4 linked regions of the Saccharomyces cerevisiae S288C genome follow. The protein of the gene in region 1 purifies or fractionates together with the protein of each later gene. This does not show direct contact. Each region holds a gene or a part of one and is shown in the gene's direction. Other genes may lie near its edges. The genes, in order: RPS7A, RIO2, ZUO1 and BRE5.

Region 1 (3,437 bases):
GAACACCTTGCCTCCAGTTCTTACCTAAATGTTTTGGTGACTTTTTTCTTGAATCAGCAACGACAATGAAGGTTTTAGCACTAGTACTAACCAATTTTTCTTGAAATAGACAAGCACCACCACCTTTAATTAATTGTAAATTCTCATCCACTTCATCAGCACCGTCAAACGCTATATCAATGCGAGGATACTGTTCAATGGAGCCTAATTGCAACTTGTTATCCAAAATCAAGTTTCTTGATTGGAATCCTGTTGGAATGCAAATGAATTTAGACGCTACTTCATAAAATTTAGGGTCATGCAAATATTGTCCAATTCTTTCGGCAACATAAACCACTGTGCTACCACTACCAATTCCAATAATTTTGTGATCATCAAATTTTAAATTTTCATCAACTGCTCTGTATGCTGCAGCTCTCTTGGCATCCTCCAAAGGATTGCCCAAAGATTCTAACGCATCAATTTTTGGGACACCGGCAGCCATTTCTTTCCTATGTTGTATTTATATGAGGTTGCAGTATGCGGTAACCAAGTTTATGTAACACGATGTTGTTAATTTTCTACAAGAGAAAAGAACGTCCCAGTACAAAGAGAATAAATTGCATGTAATAAATTGAAACAGTTTCACACTGCAACGCAAGCCGTACATATATTATATTATCCAAAGCGTACGTAAACTGACACCCAATTACGAACCAGATGAAATTTCACCGAGTTAATCGCTTTTCCCTCATCGCAAAAAAATTTTTCAACTCATCGCGACTTTTCACTGCCTCGGCCACAAGCAATCTGGGCCATGCCATTACTCCCATTAGCCCGAAAAAAAGAGGGGGTATGAAGCTAGTACATCATTATAACAAGTACTAAACTCAATTAATTCACTTACGAGACTTATACCAACGCTGGTTGATATACCACATTTGGCAGCATCCAAGGTTTCTCGTAAAATAGCTATAGTGTGGCGGACTTACCGGATGTCATTGTATAATCTTTTATAGAAAAAGGCTTTCTGAAATTTGAACATGACTAATTAACGCATATCAGGTGGGTAATCTTTCCGCAATACTATAACTTTGCTAGAAGTTATGTAAACGTTTTAGTTTACAAGAGAAAGTTTTGTGAACATTATCAGTGCCAAAACAGAAGCGGTATTACGATCGAAAATGCCAAATAAGACCGTCCGATGCCCCTTTCTTCTGCTACTCGTGATCTCACCGGCAGATAATGATTGAGTAATATCATGAATCTCTCCAAGAAACAATACTCAACTTAATGCGTTCGCAAACTGCTATTAGAATAAAAATAATGTTTCAAAAATAACGATCTTGATGTCTATACCAACCATGCATGATTTCCTATTGTGCGTGCCTTATTTACGCACGTTTTTCAACATACGGCTCTATCACCGAAGGCGCTCAAGAGCAGAATAATATGACCGTCATTCATTTCAAACCCATACACAATGAACCTTATCACACCCAAACATATGATATGGTATTAAAAAATGAAAAAAATTCATTATTCTTTAGCGTAATTATTGAAGAAAAAACAGTGCGCGCGGTAATTTTTTGTCACTCAGTAACTAGAGAGAAGCCGAATGTACTCCCCCGGCTAGCTGGAGACCATGGCTCTGCCTAGGATTTCTCTTATGCTTTCCTTTCACCAATCACTTTGTTCCGGCGAGGCCCGCGAAGCTCGCTTTCTTTCAGCCTAGCAATCATGTTCTTGCCAGCGTCGTAGACTACTGTATGGCAGTTGCTGCACTTGCCATGAATATCCTAGTGAAGCCTCTATGCAATAATCCAGTTACTGCGTTAGAATCCTGGTAAAATGTCTAATCTTATTACATTACAGCAACGTATTAGATTTTGATTGAAAATTAGTCCTTGCGACTTGGTATATATCTTATTTTAAGAAAGCTGAAAGGAAGAAAGATCATCACGAACAACATGTCTGCTCCACAAGCCAAGATTTTGTCTCAAGCTCCAACTGAATTGGAATTACAAGTTGCTCAAGCTTTCGTTGAATTGGAAAATTCTTCTCCAGAATTGAAAGCTGAGTTGAGACCTTTGCAATTCAAGTCCATCAGAGAAGTATGTTATTAATTTGAATCTAAACTTAAGAATAATGGAGAGTAACAAAGGAAAAAAGTGTGAACGGGACGATACCAGAATGTTTCAATCTAGAAAAGTATAAAAGATAAGGACTAGGACTCAAATGTATTTGGCTGACTATCGCCTGAACCTTGATGCTAAGCAAATACCATATCTTCAAGAAAAAGCCTACTCCAGTGTTTAAGAAGAAGGGAACGATTTACTAGATCATGCTATACGCAGTAAGGTTCTGATAGTTAATTACAATCGGTCCAAGTTCTAAGCGGTGTCGTCCATGCATATATCATTTACAAGTTACTGGCGTCAACTCTTCAAATATTCAAAATATCACCTAATCAAACTTACTAACATTTTCCTTTTTTGTTTTCCTTCTTTTATAGATCGACGTTGCTGGTGGTAAGAAGGCTTTGGCCATTTTTGTTCCAGTCCCATCTTTGGCTGGTTTCCACAAGGTTCAAACTAAGTTGACCCGTGAATTGGAAAAGAAATTCCAAGACCGTCATGTCATCTTCTTGGCTGAAAGAAGAATCTTGCCAAAGCCATCTAGAACATCTAGACAAGTCCAAAAGAGACCAAGATCCAGAACCTTGACTGCTGTTCATGACAAGATCTTGGAAGACTTAGTCTTCCCAACTGAAATCGTTGGTAAGAGAGTTAGATATTTGGTTGGTGGTAACAAGATCCAAAAGGTTTTGTTAGACTCAAAGGATGTCCAACAAATCGACTACAAATTGGAATCTTTCCAAGCTGTTTACAACAAATTGACTGGTAAGCAAATTGTTTTCGAAATTCCAAGTGAAACTCATTAGTTAATATAATAATATCTAAATCTTTATTATTAGTTAGTAACAACTTTGTTTATTTTATAGCACAATAAGATAATAAAAACTCCAAATTCCAAAAAAAAATACTTTTTGCAAAGATCTGAATCAAATAAATTTTATGACAACTATGCATAGTTACATACTTTTTCACCGCCGTATGATTGCCGCTAAATCGACAGGTTGCCATACAAACATTTATTTATGTCGTGCCATGTTTATAAAATTTTCGTATCTGTTGGAGTTAGATAAGCCTACGCTTGATGGACCGTTGGGTGGCTTTCTAAGTGAGCTCGTGCCATCACAATTAATATAAGGAATTGTAGATGTTTCTTTCGTTATAGGTATTTCAAAATAATTATAAGAACCTACGCCCTCGTCTTTCTCCATTGGAACAGTTGCCGTTTTCGCAGTTCTTTTTGGTTCAGTCCTCATATCATGTGATTCCCCTGGCTCTCCTGATCTTTTTATACTTACTTTGAAATCGTCATATGTGTATTTC
Region 2 (3,587 bases), on another chromosome or scaffold:
GAAAAGTCTACCGGTAAGTCTTCTAACATCACTATCTCCAACGCTGTCGGTAGATTGTCTTCTGAAGAAATTGAAAAGATGGTTAACCAAGCCGAAGAGTTCAAGGCTGCTGATGAAGCTTTTGCTAAGAAGCACGAAGCTAGACAAAGACTAGAATCCTACGTCGCTTCCATCGAACAAACCGTCACTGACCCAGTCTTGTCTTCTAAATTGAAGAGAGGTTCCAAGTCCAAGATCGAAGCTGCTTTGTCCGATGCTTTGGCTGCTTTGCAAATCGAAGACCCATCCGCTGATGAGTTGAGAAAGGCAGAAGTTGGTTTGAAGAGAGTTGTCACCAAGGCCATGTCTTCTCGTTAAGATGTCATTCTGGTTAAGGTTATACACATATATATATTTTTCATTTTTAATGTCTTAGCTTTTGTATCTTAGATGAAGTTTTAGTTCTGTATATCACGATCAAGATATCATACAATCATAAATTCAATTATTCTTCTGTTTCCCCTCTTGAGGCATCAAACGAGTGTTTGACTGATACACACCAACATACTAAGGCAACTTTTCTGGCTGCCCAAAGCTGTGGCACGTATGAAACTGCTTTTCGGCTGCATAAAACAACCATGTGGAGTTTTTACTGTATTCGCATTTCGCCCCGCTAGCATTCTTCGTTCATGCTAAAAATGAGGCGTGGGCTAATATTCAGTATTAATAATTCCGGCACCCGCACAGCCCATACCGGAAAAGGGGCTGGCTGTTGGGCTTGGCAAAAAACTCAATCTGAGCAGTCATTTATAAAGAAAGACTTTAATTTGTCTTGCTAAACACTTGTAAGCCTTCCAAATATAGATCACTTAAGACAATCTAACAAGTGTCCAAAATGTCTGCAAACGAATTCTACTCAAGTGGCCAACAAGGTCAATATAACCAGCAAAACAACCAAGAAAGAACTGGTGCTCCAAACAACGGTCAATATGGTGCCGACAATGGTAACCCCAACGGTGAACGTGGTTTATTTTCCACTATTGTAGGTGGCAGTGCCGGTGCGTACGCTGGATCTAAGGTGTCGAACAACCATTCTAAGTTGAGTGGTGTGCTGGGCGCCATAGGTGGTGCATTCCTTGCCAACAAGATATCTGATGAGCGTAAAGAGCATAAGCAACAAGAGCAATACGGCAACTCAAACTTCGGAGGTGCTCCTCAAGGTGGACACAACAACCATCACCGTCAGGACAATAACAACAATAACGGTGGATTTGGCGGTCCAGGCGGCCCTGGCGGTCAAGGTTTCGGAAGACAAGGCCCACAAGGATTTGGAGGTCCTGGTCCACAAGAGTTTGGTGGTCCAGGTGGCCAAGGATTCGGTGGTCCAAATCCTCAAGAATTCGGCGGGCCAGGTGGCCAAGGATTCGGTGGTCCAAACCCTCAGGAATTCGGGGGCCAAGGTCGTCAAGGATTCAATGGCGGTTCACGTTGGTGAATGGCTCAACAGAGTGAGTGTCATTTTTAGCTAACTACATACTTGATTTATCTATATATACATATATACTACTCGTTTTATTATGATGTCGTAACAAATGACTTATTCGAGAAAAGAAAACGTGAAAAAATAAGCTAAAAATTTGGCGATGAGGTTCTCTGTTGAAGTTGGAACCCGCAATTCATGATTTTGGTAAGGTCAAGGATCATCAGTAATTAGCTTAAAGTAAGAACTACTCAATAATATTAAACCATTTATCCTTGGCTCGTCTTTCTATTGACCAATCAATACTATTTTAAACATCTCTTCTACCACATACTTTCAATCAGACTAGAATGAAATTGGATACTTCTCATATGAGATATTTGACAACTGATGATTTTCGTGTCCTCCAGGCCGTTGAACAAGGTTCTAGAAGTCACGAAGTCGTTCCAACTCCCTTGATTCATCAAATCTCGGGGATGAGATCGCAGTCCGGAACAAACCGAGCCATTAGTGATTTGGCCAAGCTTAGCCTTATTTCCAAAATGAGAAATGTCAAATATGATGGTTACAGGCTAACTTATAACGGTATTGATTATTTGGCTTTGAAAACCATGTTAAACAGAGACACTGTCTATTCTGTCGGTAACACTATTGGTGTTGGTAAGGAATCTGACATCTATAAAGTAAGTGACAAAAATGGAAACCCTAGAGTAATGAAAATTCACAGATTAGGTAGAACCTCTTTTCATTCCGTCAGAAATAATAGAGATTATCTGAAGAAATCCAACCAGGGGGCAAACTGGATGCATCTTTCACGTTTGGCAGCCAATAAAGAATATCAGTTTATGTCCATGCTTTATTCTAAGGGTTTCAAGGTCCCTGAGCCATTCGATAACTCGCGTCATATAGTCGTTATGGAGCTTATCGAGGGTTACCCAATGAGGAGATTAAGAAAACATAAGAATATACCCAAGCTTTATAGTGATCTGATGTGTTTCATCGTTGATCTAGCAAATAGCGGACTTATCCATTGTGATTTTAATGAGTTTAATATTATGATAAAGGACAAACTAGAGGATGAAAACGATTGTGGGTTCGTAGTTATTGATTTTCCACAATGTATATCTATTCAACACCAAGACGCCGACTATTATTTCCAAAGGGATGTTGACTGTATTCGTCGTTTCTTCAAAAAGAAACTGAAGTACGAACCAAAACCTGATTCATCAATGCTCGACACTGAAGGTTTCGGCGATGGTTATAAATATGCGTATCCAGATTTCAAAAGGGACGTTAAAAGAACCGACAATTTGGATGAATTGGTGCAGGCTTCCGGATTTAGCAAAAAGCATCCAGGAGATAGGGGCCTGGAAACTGCCGTTGAAAGCATGAGAAATGCTGTTTATAATTCAGATGACGATATGTCTAATGACGAGGCCGAAGAAGAAAATGGGGAGGGCGATTATTCAGAGGAGGATGAATACTATGACTCCGAACTTGATAATGAAAGTTCTGAAGATGACAGTGAAGATGCACAAGAAGAGGAGAACGAACGTATTATAGAGGCGCTTTCCAGTGGTGTTGAAAATCTAAAAATGGATAAACTAGGAAACTATATACTAGAGTAGTTTAGTTTAGACGACTGCATAAATGGCCGCAAATAATCAAGTTGTTATCCATAATTTTTTTGATTTTTAAGCCATGTTATTCTTCAGGATAAAAAAAGTGGTATTTATGAACTCTTACATATGCGTATTCATGCTATATTATAATATCGAATCTAAGTCAATCGTATTCTACTCCGGATCCATCCTCATCATCTTCATCGTCATCATTATCAATTTCTATCGGAATATCTTCGAGTTCTAACGGCTCCTTAAACTCTTTGTATTGGAGTTCCTGTTCTGGTTGACCATTTATAGAAGCAAAACTATTATCTCTATTCAAAGCGCTTTGGCCCTTTTTGTCTTCCTCTTCATCGTCTTCTTCATCATCTTCTTCTGCTTCCTCTCCGTCTTCTGCACCGTCTGAGGATTCTTGGCCACTCCCATCGGAAAGGTCGCTCTCAGCTTCGAAATTTTGGTCATTTTCTTCATCATCGTCTGAAAACACACCTGCCTTTTTCTCG
Region 3 (3,768 bases), on another chromosome or scaffold:
TTTTTTTGCTCCCATACTTGCTGAAAATTTTTCAGATCTTACTCTTCTGGTAGTGGTGTCCTCAGAAGAGCTAACTTAGCCGATTATTTTCAATTTAGTGCAGTATGATGTCTACTATCTACCGTCATTTATCTACCGCTAGACCGGCTTTAACTAAATACGCAACCAATGCCGCAGTTAAATCGACAACTGCATCCTCAGAAGCTAGTACTCTGGGTGCTCTACAATATGCATTGTCTTTAGATGAACCAAGTCATTCGTGGACAAAATCGCAATTAAAAGAAATTTATCATACCCCACTGCTCGAACTTACTCATGCAGCACAATTGCAGCACAGAAAGTGGCACGATCCAACCAAAGTGCAATTGTGCACATTGATGAACATCAAATCTGGTGGTTGTTCTGAGGACTGTAAGTATTGTGCGCAGTCTTCGAGAAACGATACCGGTCTAAAGGCTGAGAAAATGGTTAAAGTGGATGAAGTGATTAAAGAGGCAGAAGAGGCCAAAAGAAACGGATCTACTAGATTCTGCCTAGGTGCTGCATGGAGAGACATGAAAGGTCGTAAATCAGCCATGAAAAGAATTCAGGAAATGGTGACCAAAGTGAATGATATGGGGCTAGAAACGTGTGTTACTTTAGGTATGGTTGATCAAGATCAAGCAAAGCAATTGAAAGATGCAGGTTTGACTGCATACAACCATAACATCGACACTTCCAGAGAACACTATAGTAAGGTCATCACCACGAGAACCTACGACGACAGGTTACAGACCATCAAGAATGTCCAAGAATCTGGAATAAAAGCCTGTACCGGTGGTATTTTGGGTCTCGGTGAAAGCGAAGACGACCATATAGGATTCATCTACACATTATCCAATATGTCTCCTCATCCTGAGTCCCTACCAATTAATAGACTAGTTGCTATCAAAGGGACTCCAATGGCTGAGGAACTTGCCGATCCAAAGAGTAAAAAGTTGCAATTCGACGAAATTTTGAGAACCATTGCCACAGCGAGAATAGTTATGCCAAAGGCCATTATAAGACTTGCCGCTGGTCGTTATACAATGAAAGAAACAGAGCAATTTGTCTGTTTCATGGCAGGTTGTAACAGTATCTTCACCGGTAAGAAAATGCTGACGACAATGTGTAACGGTTGGGACGAAGACAAGGCAATGTTGGCTAAATGGGGATTGCAACCTATGGAGGCATTTAAGTACGACAGATCTTGAAGATAGGGATATGTGGATAATTCTACGATTCTAACTGTACATTTCTCCCTTATTTATTAAGAAAACCTATATATATATATATTTACCTATTTATTCTGCCATCGTTAGCTGGCGTTTTATCTTTTATGCATCCAATATCTAATATTACTTCCGATCACGCATTTAGTTCTGATTACAGCAGAAATCGTAGCGCGATGAGACATTTCATCAAATGGCCTTTTTTTTTTGGGCAATTTTTTTATATCTTGAAATGATAGTTGCCTTGTACTTTCAACCGTTCATTTCATTAAGAACTTGACTAAATATGAACATTTCTTAAAAAAAAGGTTGACATATAAAAATAATCGAATATAAACGATGGAATTTTTATAAAATTAAACACATATATATATATATATTAACTATAAATATGTCAAAGAAACCATACAATCATAGATTTATAACTATCTTTTGGATGACATTAATGAACATAACGCTCCTAATACAAATGTCCAAAAAATATTACCCGCAAATACGAATCTTTTTTTTTTCTCGATGAAATTTTGCAAAGAGTTCGAAATTTTTATTTCAAGAGCTGGTAGAGAAAATTTCATAAGGTTTTCCTACCGATGCTTTTATAAAATCTTCGTTTTGTCTCACATATACCAACAAGAGTAACGATGTTTTCTTTACCTACCCTAACCTCAGACATCACTGTTGAAGTCAACAGTTCCGCTACCAAAACCCCATTCGTCCGTCGTCCGGTCGAACCGGTTGGTAAGTTCTTTTTGCAACATGCTCAAAGAACTTTGAGAAACCACACCTGGTCTGAATTTGAAAGAATTGAAGCTGAAAAGAACGTCAAAACCGTTGATGAATCCAATGTCGACCCAGATGAGTTGTTATTCGACACTGAATTGGCCGATGAAGATTTACTGACTCATGATGCTAGAGACTGGAAAACTGCCGATTTGTATGCTGCTATGGGTTTGTCTAAGTTGCGTTTCAGAGCTACTGAAAGTCAAATCATCAAGGCTCACAGAAAACAAGTTGTCAAGTACCATCCAGACAAGCAATCTGCTGCTGGTGGTAGTTTGGACCAAGATGGCTTTTTCAAGATTATTCAAAAGGCCTTTGAAACTTTGACTGATTCCAACAAGAGAGCTCAGTACGACTCATGTGATTTTGTTGCCGATGTTCCTCCTCCAAAGAAGGGTACCGATTATGACTTTTATGAAGCTTGGGGCCCCGTTTTCGAAGCTGAAGCTCGTTTTTCTAAGAAGACTCCTATTCCTTCTCTAGGTAACAAAGATTCTTCCAAGAAGGAAGTTGAACAATTCTATGCTTTCTGGCACAGATTTGACTCCTGGAGAACCTTTGAGTTCTTGGACGAAGATGTCCCAGATGACTCTTCTAACAGAGACCACAAGCGTTACATTGAAAGAAAGAACAAGGCCGCAAGAGACAAGAAGAAGACTGCTGATAACGCTAGATTGGTCAAACTTGTTGAAAGAGCTGTCAGTGAAGATCCCCGTATCAAAATGTTCAAAGAAGAAGAGAAGAAGGAAAAGGAAAGAAGAAAATGGGAAAGAGAAGCCGGTGCCAGAGCTGAAGCTGAAGCTAAGGCCAAGGCCGAAGCTGAAGCGAAGGCTAAAGCTGAATCTGAAGCCAAGGCTAACGCCTCCGCAAAAGCTGACAAAAAGAAGGCTAAGGAAGCTGCTAAGGCCGCCAAGAAAAAGAACAAGAGAGCCATCCGTAACTCTGCTAAGGAAGCTGACTACTTTGGTGATGCTGACAAGGCCACCACGATTGACGAACAAGTTGGTTTGATCGTTGACAGTTTGAATGACGAAGAGTTAGTGTCCACCGCCGATAAGATCAAGGCCAATGCTGCTGGTGCCAAGGAAGTTTTGAAGGAATCTGCAAAGACTATTGTCGATTCTGGCAAACTACCATCCAGCTTGTTGTCCTACTTCGTGTGAATACCGTAAGAAATGGAATAGAATATATACGAATGTATACGAATATTATAGAGAACGTTCTCTTTTATTTCTATAATGAATAGGTTCGGGTAACGGTTCCCTTTTTAGGTATTTCTAGAAGATGAGAGAAGAGGGAATAATGAGAAAGGCGAAAAATAAAGGACACCTTTAACGAAAGATCAAAGGTGTCCTTATTTACTTACAATAGCTGCAATTAGTACGACTCAAAAAAAGTGAAAACAAAACTGAAAGGATAGATCAATGTCTTACAGAGGACCTATTGGAAATTTTGGCGGTATGCCAATGTCATCATCGCAAGGACCATACTCTGGCGGTGCACAATTCAGATCAAACCAGAACCAATCCACTTCTGGCATCTTAAAGCAATGGAAGCATTCTTTTGAAAAGTTTGCCTCCAGAATTGAGGGGCTCACTGACAATGCAGTTGTTTATAAATTGAAGCCTTACATTCCAAGTTTGTCAAGATTTTTCATTGTGGCCACCTTTTATGAAGATTCGTTTAGGATCTTATCACAATGGTCAGATCAAATTTTTTATCTGAATAAGTGGAAGCA
Region 4 (3,658 bases), on another chromosome or scaffold:
GGTATCAACTTCGAAAAACACGAAAATTTAGGCATCGATGTATTTGAATTTTCGCAGCTTCTAATGGACTCTGGTTTAATGATGGATGATTCTGTTACTTGGATCACATACCATGCGGCATATGATCTAGGTTTCCTGATCAACATTCTAATGAATGACTCCATGCCCAACAACAAGGAGGATTTCGAGTGGTGGGTCCATCAATACATGCCCAATTTCTACGACTTAAACCTGGTGTATAAAATAATCCAGGAGTTCAAGAACCCTCAATTGCAACAATCTTCACAACAGCAACAGCAGCAGCAATATTCACTAACCACACTTGCCGATGAGTTAGGGCTACCAAGATTCTCTATATTTACTACTACAGGCGGCCAGAGTCTATTGATGCTTCTATCCTTCTGCCAATTGAGCAAGCTGTCTATGCATAAGTTCCCAAACGGTACGGATTTCGCCAAGTACCAAGGTGTCATATACGGTATTGATGGGGACCAATGATCATTTATGTACTATATGTATACACAATTTTAAAAAAAAAAGTTTAAAAGCAACATCAGCTTATGATTGGACATGTAGTAATACAGATTGGTTCTTCGATGCAATAAGCACTCTTCCACAGGAGATTGATGCGTTATTCCCGTATAGTTATCGGTCACGTGCGCTGTAGTTTGTTTAACCATTTATTTTTTCTTGGAAATTTTTTCGTCCAAAGCAGCGAAAAACATCAGGTGGCGATTAATGAAAGAATGACATATTGCAAGCAGCATAACCGTCCATTCCAGGGATAAGAGGAAGTACAAGCTTCTTTATTAATAGTTCTAGAGTGACTACATTATTTCAGATTAGGCAATATTACCTTTTCGTACCGTTTTTTTTTCCTGTCCACTGTTACTATTGTTACGGTTAAAAGTTCTATCGCAACCGGCGGACGTTAAACTAAGTCATTTGTTTTTTATCCCATTACTGTTTCAAAAAAGAGCAATTCATACCTAATTTGTACAAAACGAAGACTGTACAAGTGGTAGTACTTGACATAGGATATTTTGCTTGAGTATTAGAAGAATACGAAAAACTTCTTCAGTTTTCTAGTTACCGTTAGTACCAAAACTATTCTAGAGGAAGAATAAACAGTAAGATATTGCTTTAATTTATTTATATCACCTACCACAAGCTTTCGTTTTTTTACTCTGTTTAATTCTTCAAGTTGTGTTTTTTCCCTACATTTTAATTCATTTTTGCCCATTTAATTACATTTTTTTTTTTGTTTTATTATTTTCGTTCAAACCTCATTTTCTTTCAAATATTCAATTAGTCAATCATTTTACAGAGAATCTGTTGAAAACTTATTTTACTGATACATCTTTATTTTTCGTTGATTTTTAAAGAGAAAAAGATCACGAAGAATACTACAAAACCATCGCATTTTTTTTTTCAAGTGTGTTATAGTTTTATTACCTTGTCACTAATAGTTGCATTTGAAGTCATACCCTCGAATAGAAGTATCAAATAAAAGAAAATGGGTGTTACCGTTCAAGACATATGTTTTGCCTTTTTGCAAAACTACTACGAAAGAATGAGGACCGACCCTTCCAAATTGGCATATTTTTATGCAAGTACAGCCGAGTTGACGCATACTAATTATCAGTCCAAGTCAACAAACGAAAAAGATGACGTTCTTCCAACGGTGAAAGTTACTGGACGTGAAAACATTAATAAGTTTTTTTCTAGAAATGATGCCAAAGTTAGGAGCTTGAAACTAAAATTAGATACTATAGATTTCCAGTACACTGGGCACTTGCACAAAAGCATTCTGATCATGGCCACGGGTGAAATGTTTTGGACAGGAACTCCGGTCTATAAGTTTTGTCAAACATTTATCCTGCTACCATCCAGCAATGGGTCTACGTTTGACATTACCAATGATATAATCAGATTTATTTCCAATTCATTCAAGCCTTATGTCTTAACAGATGCTTCTTTGTCACAATCTAACGAGGAGAACTCTGTCAGTGCAGTTGAAGAAGATAAAATAAGGCATGAGTCCGGAGTTGAAAAAGAAAAAGAAAAAGAAAAATCACCAGAAATATCGAAACCAAAGGCCAAAAAGGAAACGGTCAAAGACACAACTGCGCCAACTGAATCGTCAACTCAGGAAAAACCAATTGTCGATCATAGTCAACCTCGGGCTATACCCGTCACTAAAGAGTCCAAGATTCACACCGAAACGGTACCATCTAGTACTAAGGGCAACCACAAACAAGATGAGGTCTCTACAGAAGAGTTAGGAAACGTTACTAAACTAAATGAAAAATCTCACAAAGCCGAAAAGAAAGCTGCACCAATCAAGACAAAGGAAGGCTCTGTTGAGGCCATAAATGCTGTTAATAACTCTTCTTTGCCCAACGGTAAAGAAGTTAGTGATGAAAAACCGGTACCTGGGGGCGTAAAGGAAGCTGAAACTGAAATTAAACCAATAGAGCCACAGGTTTCCGACGCCAAAGAATCCGGCAATAACGCTTCAACACCTTCATCTTCTCCAGAGCCCGTTGCGAATCCACCAAAGATGACATGGGCCTCAAAGTTGATGAATGAAAACTCCGACAGAATTAGCAAAAATAATACCACGGTTGAATACATCAGACCTGAAACACTACCCAAGAAACCGACTGAAAGAAAATTTGAAATGGGGAATCGGAGGGACAACGCTAGTGCTAACAGCAAAAATAAGAAAAAACCAGTATTCAGCACCGTTAACAAGGACGGCTTTTATCCAATCTACATTAGAGGTACAAATGGCTTAAGAGAAGAAAAATTGAGAAGTGCCTTAGAAAAAGAATTCGGTAAAGTTATGAGGATAACAGCTGCAGACAATTTTGCCGTCGTCGACTTTGAAACTCAAAAGAGCCAAATCGATGCTTTAGAGAAGAAGAAAAAGTCAATTGATGGTATTGAAGTATGCTTAGAAAGAAAAACAGTAAAGAAGCCCACGAGCAATAATCCTCCTGGCATATTTACTAATGGAACACGTTCTCATAGAAAGCAACCCCTAAAAAGAAAGGACTAGTCAACCACAAGCCTTTTAAAAAGAAAAATTGAAAAAATAATAAAAAAATTTGAAAAAGAAAAAAAAAAATCATAAAACCAATCTTAAGAAAAACCAAAAAAAAACCGCTAATTAAAATCTAAAAAATTGAAACAAGAAACTGTATGATTAGTAACTAATATACTGGCGCGGAAGGGAATGAATGCCATTTAAATGAGATGATTATGAAAATATAGCGTAGAGTAGATGCGCGAAACCGAGGCAGAAAAGAAAAAGAGACAAGTTAAAAATTGAATATAATGATATATGGGCACTTTCTTCTGTGCTAGGAAACGGAGGTAGAAGGGGATAGCAAGCTTGAGCAGTAATTAAAAAAAAAAAAAAGCATATTGATAGATAGCTCATTTGTAGTTAACTGACGACATTTATGTACATAATTAAAATAGAAGAAAATTTTCAAAAAAAATTCTCCTGGCGATTGTTAGGGACAAGAAAACAAGCCATGTTGTAACCAATAAATGTTACACGCCTTCAAAATAAAAAAAAGATGGACAAAAGAGATAAATCTTTTGCTTTTTCTTACTCTGTGTTGTTGTCAACAAAGACAACAAACGT

What was found.
Region 2: the proteins of RPS7A (region 1) and RIO2 purify together in Saccharomyces cerevisiae (affinity purification with mass spectrometry; 5 studies listed by BioGRID). This does not show direct contact.
Region 3: the proteins of RPS7A (region 1) and ZUO1 purify together in Saccharomyces cerevisiae (affinity purification with mass spectrometry; 3 studies listed by BioGRID). This does not show direct contact.
Region 4: the proteins of RPS7A (region 1) and BRE5 purify together in Saccharomyces cerevisiae (affinity purification with mass spectrometry; 3 studies listed by BioGRID). This does not show direct contact.

The regions. Positions count from the first base shown.
Region 1 is NC_001147.6:503,845-507,281, forward strand, and holds RPS7A (40S ribosomal protein eS7 RPS7A), read left to right. Parts: upstream 1-1,949; coding exon 1,950-2,093; intron 2,094-2,494; coding exon 2,495-2,923; downstream 2,924-3,437. Other genes in the region: ribose-5-phosphate isomerase RKI1, read right to left, coding at 1-484; YOR097C (uncharacterized protein), read right to left, coding at 3,134-3,437. UniProt on the Saccharomyces cerevisiae protein: Component of the ribosome, a large ribonucleoprotein complex responsible for the synthesis of proteins in the cell.
Region 2 is NC_001146.8:253,544-257,130, forward strand, and holds RIO2 (protein kinase RIO2), read left to right. Parts: upstream 1-1,809; coding exon 1,810-3,087; downstream 3,088-3,587. Other genes in the region: Hsp70 family ATPase SSB2, read left to right, coding at 1-357; YNL208W (uncharacterized protein), read left to right, coding at 875-1,474; RTT106 (Rtt106p), read right to left, coding at 3,245-3,587. UniProt on the Saccharomyces cerevisiae protein: Required for the final endonucleolytic cleavage of 20S pre-rRNA at site D in the cytoplasm, converting it into the mature 18S rRNA. Involved in normal export of the pre-40S particles from the nucleus to the cytoplasm.
Region 3 is NC_001139.9:1,061,277-1,065,044, reverse strand, and holds ZUO1 (zuotin), read left to right. Parts: upstream 1-1,891; coding exon 1,892-3,193; downstream 3,194-3,768. Other genes in the region: BIO2 (biotin synthase), read left to right, coding at 105-1,232; protein ERV29, read left to right, coding at 3,455-3,768. UniProt on the Saccharomyces cerevisiae protein: Component of the ribosome-associated complex (RAC), a heterodimeric chaperone complex involved in regulation of accurate translation termination and in folding or maintaining nascent polypeptides in a folding-competent state.
Region 4 is NC_001146.8:716,186-719,843, reverse strand, and holds BRE5 (Bre5p), read left to right. Parts: upstream 1-1,516; coding exon 1,517-3,064; downstream 3,065-3,658. Other genes in the region: CCR4-NOT core DEDD family RNase subunit POP2, read left to right, coding at 1-498. UniProt on the Saccharomyces cerevisiae protein: Has a role in de-ubiquitination. In conjunction with UBP3, cleaves ubiquitin, leading to the subsequent mono-ubiquitination of sec23.